Sus scrofa: one gene and its partner. The protein of the gene in region 1 interacts with the protein of each later gene in a biochemical or structural test. Links are inferred from orthologs where the notes say so. Each region holds a gene or a part of one and is shown on either strand. Other genes may lie near its edges.

Evidence for each region.
Region 2: the proteins of PTEN (region 1) and RPL22L1 form a complex in vitro, tested with the Homo sapiens proteins (2 studies listed by BioGRID). The link is inferred for Sus scrofa from reciprocal best matches to the Homo sapiens genes PTEN and RPL22L1.

What each region holds. Positions count from the first base shown.
Region 1 is NC_010456.5:99,928,021-99,932,443, forward strand, and holds the start of PTEN (phosphatidylinositol 3,4,5-trisphosphate 3-phosphatase and dual-specificity protein phosphatase PTEN), read left to right. Parts: upstream 1-1,569; 5' UTR 1,570-2,273; coding exon 2,274-2,352; intron 2,353-4,423. UniProt on the Homo sapiens protein: Dual-specificity protein phosphatase, dephosphorylating tyrosine-, serine- and threonine-phosphorylated proteins.
Region 2 is NC_010455.5:109,496,551-109,501,100, reverse strand, and holds the start of RPL22L1 (60S ribosomal protein L22-like 1), read left to right. Parts: upstream 1-1,605; 5' UTR 1,606-1,736; coding exon 1,737-1,745; intron 1,746-3,512; coding exon 3,513-3,605; intron 3,606-3,784; coding exon 3,785-3,906; intron 3,907-4,550.

The DNA of each region.
Region 1 (4,423 bases):
GTCTTTCCACCAAGACCCAGGAGGCTCTGGGGTCCCTCTGCTTCTGAAAGGCGGGAGCCCTCTGGGCAAAAGAAGCGAAACACTTGCCTCTGGAGTTATCAAATGGGAGTGGGAATTTGGAAAGTTCCCCAACTAGGATCACACGTGACCTCCCCCTGAAAGTAGTTCCGACTGTGGCCCGTATATCCCTCCACCTCTTTTTGAACCCTCCTCGGTCTCCTCGGCTCCGCCCACTCGCCGGGGCTGCAGCTTCCTACCGTCGCGTACTTCACTCTCCGGCCCAGCAACCCGAGTCTCCGCCCGGGTGGTGGAGCGCGGAACCGGGCCCCGGGGCGATCCAGCCAGCCAGGTTTTCACAGCGGCCCAAAAGGGGGCGGGGCGAGGAGTCTTTGGCTCAGTTCGACGCGGTGAACCCTACTGGAACCCCGAGGGGAGAGATGCTCTCTGCTCTCCAGGGGGCTGGGGTGCATCCCAGCGTCGGGTATCAGCTTTCATTTCACCTGGACATTTGTCCTTTGGGATCTAGAAATTCAGGGGCGATGTGTTCATATTCAGCACGCTCTGCTGGACCTTTCAATTTTAGGGCAAATGAACCAGGTTGCCGGGGAAGCGGGAGGTGGGGCGATGCAAGGGAGCCGGATGAGGTGATACACACTAGAGACACAATAGGGGATTCTTTGTATTAAGACTGACACCTTGAGGACACGGGTGGGGGTGGGGGATAGGTGGATTTTTTGGCAGAGGCTGCTGCAGTCAAATCCCTGCGAACGATTGTGATCCGACAGCGGTGCAAAAGGACGGGGGGTTGCAGGCCGTGCCAGGGAAATCTGGGGGCAAGGGGAGAGGTGTCCTCGCTGTAGGGACCATCCTTGCGCTTCCCGGTACACTACCAGCGCAGTCACCTGGTCTTTCCCACCTGTGCACAGGTAACCTCAGACTCGCGTCAGTGACACTGCTCAAAGAACCTGCCTCAGCCTTCACCTTAACCCCCCTGTCTCGCTCGCAACAGCCTATTCTGCCTCGGGTTGCGTTGCTGGGCACAGGCTATGGTTCAGCTCGTCCCCCCACCCTGCGTTGCTGCAGAAGCAGCCGCAGCAAGTGCAGCTTCAGGAGGGGGCCTCGGAACAAGCCCGAGCGAGCCCCGGGCAGTCATACTGGGCATGCTCAGTGGCGCCAGCAGGTTGGGGACTCGGCGCTCGCACCAGAGCTGCCGCTTCTGCCCCCTCCCTAAAACCCCAGCCCTGCCCTGCGCGTCTCTCCCCTGGCGCGGTCCGGCCCGCCTCCCGCCTCCCGCCTCCCCTCGGGCTCCCAGGCGCCCCTGCCCCTAGCGCGGCGGCGGAGGGGGCGGGCAGGCTGGCGGGCGGTGATGTGGCGGGACTCTTTGTGCACTGCGGCAGGATACCCGTTCGGAGCCGGGACGCGGCTGCGCTCAGTTCTCTCCTCTCGGAAGCTGCAGCCATGATGGAAGTTTGAGAGTTGGGCCGCTGTGAGGCGAGACCGGGCTCAGGCGAAGGAGATGAGAGACGGCGGCGGCCGCGGCCCAGAGCCCCTCTCAACGCCTGTGAGCAGCCGCGGGGGCAGCGCCCTCGGGGAGCCGGCCGGCCGGCGGCGGCGGCAGCGGCGGCGTTTCTCGCCTCCTCTTCGTCCTCTTTTCTAACCGTGCAGCCTCTTCCTCGGCTTCTTCTGAAAGGGACGGTGGAAGCCGTGGGCTCGGGCGGGAGCCGGCTGAGGAGCGGCGGCGGCACCTCCCGCTCCTGGAGCGGGGGGGAGAAGCGGCGGCGGCGGCGGCGGCGGCGGCTGCAGCTCCGGGGAGGGGGTCGGAGTCGCCTGTCATCATTTCCAGGGCTGGGAACGCCGGAGAGTTGGTCTCTCCCCTCTTACTGCCTCCAACACGGCGGCGGCGGCGGCGGCACATCCAGGGACCCGGGCCGGTTTTAAACCTCCCCTCCGCCGCCGCCGCACCCCCCCTGGCCCGGGCTCCAGAGGCCGCCGGAGGAGGCAGCCTTTCCGAGGATTATTCGTCTTCTCCCCATTCCGCTGCCGCCGCTGCCAGATCTCTGGCTGCTGAGGAGAAGCAGGCCCAGTCGCTGCAACCATCCAGCAGCCGCCGCAGCAGCCATTACCCGGCTGCGGTCCAGAGCCAAGCGGCAGCAGAGCGAGGGGCATCAGCTACCGCCAAGTCCAGAGCCATTTCCATCCTGCAGAAGAAGCCCCGCCACCAGCAGCTTCTGCCATCTCTCTCCTCCTTTTTCTTCAGCCACAGACTCCCAGACATGACAGCCATCATCAAAGAGATCGTTAGCAGAAACAAAAGGAGATATCAAGAGGATGGATTCGACTTAGACTTGACCTGTATCCATTTCTGTGGCTGCTGCTCCTCTTTGCTTTTCTGTCACTCGCTCTTATAACGTGGGAGTAGACGGATGCGAAAAATGTCCATAGTTTGGGTGACTATAACATTTAACCCTAATCAGATTTCTAGATCATGTATATTTTGTGCTGCTTTTGAATGCATTCAGCCTAGGGTGTGTTCATCTAGACAGAACTCTTGCTTGGTTGCAAGTGTCAAGGCGCCCATGGGTTTCTTAGTCTGTCTACGGGGTCTCTTCCTAAGGGCTATTGTCCGTTAATACAGAATACAGTACAGTGTTAGTGGATTAGTGAGCTCGGTAATCCGGTCTATTAAATGAACAGAAAAGTAGATGCTTTGAGGTTGAGCATATTTCGATTAAATCTTGGCTTTAGGCCCTAGATCAAGGGTATAGATCAGATTAAAATGAAAATTAGTGTTGCACGTACGCATATTGCATCAGAATCTTGCAGTGATTGTTTTGAGTTTCCTGGGTTGCATTGATAGATTCTTTTAAAATGTGAGTTGTGAACTGATTTGCATAACTTTAGAGAGAATCATTTTAGCATATATGGTGCTCATTTGAAGGCAAAAGTAGGTTTGTGTGTTAAAACAAAGTTAATTACAACTTTGAACTGCATGTGGAAGTTTTGTAGCTTGAAATCAATAGTGCCGTGGTATATCTCATAAATCGTTCTTATTAGATCTTTGTTAAATTTGCTCCCCTCCCCCCATTGGGGTGATATGGGATAGGATATGAAATTTGCAATTCAGTAGCATTTTATATTCAGTGCTCTTGTGACAAGTAGTAGAATGGAGATTGAGTGGTTTTTGATCCCAGATGATAAGGTTGTATAGGTTGAAGGGTATAGTGTGTAGCAAATGGTGATTGCAGAGATTAAACTTCAGTTTCACTTGAAATTTAAGTATTATTGTGATGCCAGAATTGCTGCTCACCTTATTTAGGTATCATGTCCTCTGACACCTTTGGGTATCCGTTAATCTTACTCTGACTTGTGTAGAATGTCAAGTACAATTTATCAGCTAATAATCAGACTGGCAAGAGTGGATTACTCCAGCTTCAGATTGTAGGTGTGTTCCGCTTTTTCCATACGGTGTCTTAAATTTACTGAGTCAGCTTGTTGAATAAGATAGAAACCCAAGAATTTCAATAGTGTATAGTATTGGTTGTCTAACAGGCCCTTGTACTTCAAAAGATGCTGGTTATCAAAAGGCATTAATCTTTGCAGTTTCAGGTATAATAAGCTGGCTTTGATCAAGGATGGGAATGGAGCCCTTTTTTGCAGAATGAAAAGTATCAGAAATTGAGAGTTACGAAAGGCCAGTGTATAGACATGAGACAGGATTAAGTTACTGGTCTGAGGTGACTGAAGCATTTTTTTAAGCCTCTATTAAGATAAGAAATTTGGTGGTATGAATTTTACTAGTTGACAATATTTAGTTAAAACTATGTAGTTTTATAAGTGTTAATATTCTTTAATAAAAGTGGTTTCTTAGCAACTGTCAGTAAACATCTCTCCTAAAGGTAAAGTGAGACTAAAGTGTTTATATATGTACAGCTAAAAATTGTGGGGGAGTTTTTTTGAATCAAACGTTGTATATCTGGAGAGATTTTATTCCTTCGGGTTATGTATGTGCACATAGTGTGCACAGCTAATTTACTCGAAGTATTTGTTTTGAAATGAAGATAAAATTACTGAAGAAATAGCTTTACCACGCACACAAGGTAACCGTTTTCTGTTAAGTTAAAAAAGAATGTTTAAAAAGAATATTTGGAAATTTTAAAGTTGCATTAATTGAAAACTTTACTGAGACTGAACTTGACCCGCTTACCCAGAAGTTAATTACGGAAAAACTCTTCTGATTTGTAACTTACTTCAAAAATAGTCTACTGTTGGCGTAAACTGACAGTCATCTGAATATATAGGAACACATTAATTAACTGTTTAACTTTTTAAAATAAGCCTCCATTCAAAAAATTTTCCAGAATGCTGTTTATTAGATTGTTTTTAATATTCACAGTATGTTTATGCTACTTTTGCTATACCCATT
Region 2 (4,550 bases), on another chromosome or scaffold:
CGGATCTGGCATTGAAGTGACTGTGACCTACGCTGGCAGCTGTAGCTCCGATAGGAGGAGGGGGAGAAGGAGGAGGGGAGGGGAGGGGAGGGGAGGGGGAGGGAAGAAACTGGGGACAAATGAGGCTTGGTCCTGCTGGGATCATCCATGCAGTGATGCAGAGCGTACTTCTGAACTGTTCACTCAAGGAAAAGAAGGGAGCAGCAGCCACTTTGGGGCAGGTGCAACTTGGCAGCAACTCCTCACTTGTTTTTCACCTTCCACTTCTATGACTTCTCTGGGAGGCACGGGACTCTCGCGGGAACCTCTGTACTAACACTTATTTACACATGCACAACCTAAAAATACAAGGCAGTTACCACCCCAGGGACAACCCCTGACCAATGGGGGACAGGAAACTGGGGAAAAACGCTCCTCTCTCCTAAAAGAGAAATAGACAGAATGTAGGTTTGGGCATAAAGGGTATCTGTCACAATTGTCATTATTTTTTCCTGAGATGTATGGTAGCATTCACTGGTGAAGATATCTGGGTGTTTTTCCTGTGGAAAAGTTTTAATTACAAATTTATTTAAAAGATATAGGACTATTCAGATTTTCTGTTTCTCCTCATGTAAATTTTAGGTTGTATTTTTCTAGGTATTCATTTAACCTAATTTGACATATTCTGGCATACAGTAATTTCAACTGTTTTCTTTTTTTAATTTTTTTCTTTTCTTTTTAGGGCCACACACTCGCAGCACATGGAAGTTCCCAGGCTAGGGGTCAATCAGAGATACAGCTGCCAGCCTATGCCGCAGCCACAGCAACGCAGGATCCTAGCCACCTACATTAGAACTCACCGCAAGGTTGCCTCCTTAACCCACTGAGCGACGTCAGGGATCCAACCTGCAACCTCATGGTTACTAGTTGGATTCGTTTCCGCTGCACCACAATGAGAAAACTGCCAAACTGTTTTCCTTTTTAACTGAAGTATAACATATACATTTACAGAAAAGTACACAGATTATAAATTTACAGCTTGATGAATTTTCACAAACTACACATATTCATGTAACCCACCACCAAGATCAAGAAACAGACCACTACTAGATCTAGATGGAAGTCAGGTGTCCTAGGATTAACTCTAAAGCCTATAAAACCTATAAAATAAGAATAAATTACAAAATGTGAACAGATGAGTACTACATATTTTTCTCTTAAAGGTTTTTTTCCCCCTCAAGAATCTAGTTTATTTTGGCTCTCTGAAACACTGATTTCCCTCAAGAGTCATTTAGAAAACTCATAGTCAAAACATAGATAAATAAAGTTTTTGCTGGAAGACTATAAATGCAAAATAAGACAGGAAATCCCAAAGCAACCTGAGACATTGCCTTGACTTGACTGGAAAGAAGATCCAGGCGATTAGTGACTAATGTTTCCTGCTTCCTCGGTGTGTGCATCTGAAGAAGCCTCCCTGCAAGCAACCGCAGAGACCACTGTGGTCAACCAGCGTGCTGTCCCCAGCAGTGTAAAACTGCGAATCATTTCAACTACAGCCGCTGGCCGGTGCTCCTACGAAACCTGAGCGCCTCCAGGCCACGCCCTCGGTTTCCTGGGTTACTAGCCTCCAAGCACCTCCCAAGGTCTGTTCCGGGAGGCGGTGATCTTACGTTCTCGACGCGTGACTCAGCACGCTTTGGTATAAATACGTGCTGCCGGAAGACGCTTTCTCTCTTACCGCGTGGCCGGCCTCCAACATGGCGCCGGTGAGTGAACGTGATCTCGCCGGGAATTCTTACTTTGATGTAGATGTGTGTTTCAGGTGGCGAGTTGGGGGAGGCTAGTTCTAGATAAAGAGTGGTTAGAATTGGAGACTTGGGTCAGGAACACAACCAAGATTAAGGTTGTAAGTTTTTTCCTGACTCTTGACAACTGCTACGCGGCGAGGGCCCGGTATTGGCTTAGGATGGGTCGTGGTGGGAGCGCAGGAAAAGCGGAGGCACGACGGTGAAGGGGGCTAATAGAACAGCATTTGGGCTTTGTTTTTTCTCCCTGGTGCATGGTAAGGCAGTTGCTACTCTTTACAGTGGAAAGCAGATGTGGGTAATCGAGCGGGTCTTATAGCCTTACGAGGGCGGAGGGAGATAGGCGTCTCTCATTTCCCAGGATAGCCGCGGTTGTAGAGGTTTCAGAGAACTTTAGAACTAAGTTGGGGGAAAAGTTTGTTAACCTCACAAAGGAATTTTTTTAAAACGTGAAAGTCAACGACTCGGGCAAATATAAATGTTTGCTTCAAAGGTTTTATTGACCAGGGGACCAGTAAGGTCTTAAAGCTGGTCCAAAGAGCGTTTGAAGTGTTAGGGTAAAATTGCTGGGTTATATACAAAACTAGATAATGTGCAAAGGGGCCATAAGCCCTCTGGGCATATTTGTTCCACCGACAAATTATTTGCATTTCTGAAGTTAACTGATGGCCCAGCAGAGCTGTAAATTGCTCGGTCAAGCCCAGCTCCTGGGAATCGCTATTAACTGTTCGAAAGTTTAGGATGAATTTTTTTGGCACAAGTCTAAGGTAAAAAATAGCAGTTTAAGTGGCATTTTTTGGTGGGTGGATTTTAATGTGTAACTTTATTCTGTGGTATTGTTCGAAAAGTTTAGAGTATGGTAAACAAAGTACTTTTTCTTTTTTTTTTTTAAGACCACCAGACTGGTATCCTTTTCCTCACCCATAACAGCATTAAGGTTTAATTCCTTAGAATAAAATATCCTATTCTTGCATGAAGCTTAAGTTTTTCACGAAACTTTTCTTGATAACTTGAAACAATGTGAACCTGGTTAGAGGTCCAAACCAACGCAGATAGGTATTTATTAGTTTTGACTTGTAATAGAAAATAGATGCTTTTAGTCTCTTCCAATTGCAAAATAGGATTCTTTAGGAATCTTCTGATGAAGGAAACTGAAAGTATACTTTTTTTTTTTTTTTTTTTTTGTCTTTTTGCTGTATCTTGGGCCGCTCCCGCGGCATATGGAGGTTCCCAGGCTAGGGGTTGAATCGGAGCTGTAGCCACCGGCCTACGCCAGAGCCACAGCAACGCGGGATCCGAGCCACGTCTGCAACCTACACCACAGCTCACGGCAACGCCGGATCGTTAACCCACTGAGCAAGGGCAGGGACTGAACCCGCAACCTCATGGTTCCTAGTCGGATTCGTTAACCACTGCGCCACCACGGGAACTCCCTGAAAGTATACTTTGAGCTTTCTTGAGTATTATTGCACTTGTAAGACACTTGAATGATGAATAAGTGAAATTTCCATTGGACTTCATGTAACTTAGTTTTAACCAAATTAATGAGTGTACTCCATAGTGTGGCTTTGTATGTCCAATAGATGTTAAGCAATTTTTTAGAATTTTGCACCATTTCATATATATAGCCTCACAGTACATTGTACATCACTGAGCTGGTATAGATTTTTGGCTTTGAATAAAGTGAATAAATGGTTGTAGAGAGCCATAATTATATTGCCTTTGTAGAAGAAAGACAAGAAGCCTAAGAAGTCAACCTGGAAGTTTAATTTGGACCTGACTCATCCAGTAGAAGATGGAATTTTTGATGCTCGAAATTTTGTAAGTATCACTCTACCCAGGTGTTTTTTTTTTTTTTTTTTAAGTCATTGTAGTAGAATTCTTAATGAATTGAATATGTAATATTTGATTTTAACCTATGCTGTGTTCCTAGGGTGCCTTCCCTAGTGAATACCTAGGGTTTTCTTCCCTAGTGTGGCATTTTTTCTATTTTAAAATAGGAACAGTTTCTACGGGAGAAGGTTAAAGTGAATGGAAAAACTGGGAATCTTGGGAATGTTGTTCACATTGAACACTTCAAGAATAAAATCATGGTTGTTTCTGAGAAACAGTTCTCTAAAAGGTTGGTATTTGTTTTCCATGGTATATATTTTTTTAACAACATGGGGTGTTTTAATATTAGAATATGTTTGGAGTTCGTGTTGTGGCTCAGTGGAAACAATCTGACTAGCATCCACATCCACACAGGTTCGATCCCTGGCCTCTGCTCAGTGGGTTAAGGATCCATTGTTGCCATGAACTGTGGTGTAGGTCGCAGACACAGCTTGGATCTGGCGTTGCTTGGATCTGCCAGCAGCTATAGCTCTTGATTCGACCACCCCTAGCCTGGGAACCTCCATATGCTGTAGGTGTGGCCCTAAAAGACAAGAAAAAAATATATATATATGAGTATGTTTGAAGAAACATGTCCGTTGTTGAGCGTGGCAGTCATGTCCCAACTTAGTTCTGGTTGTCTGGTAGAGGCAGTCAATCAAAGGTCAAGTCTCTAATGTTAGTTTTGCTGTCAGTTTACCTGACAAATATGTAATACATAGCACTGTTACAGGACTGAGTAGCCTAGCAGTGAACCAAGAGAACTAAGTACCCACTACCAGGCAGCTTAAATTCTAGTGGAGAAGAGAGAGAATGGAATGCAATATTAAATTATTGATAAATGCATGTAAGTGAAGATTGATGTCCTTATATAAGGTGGTAAGGGAAAGCTGC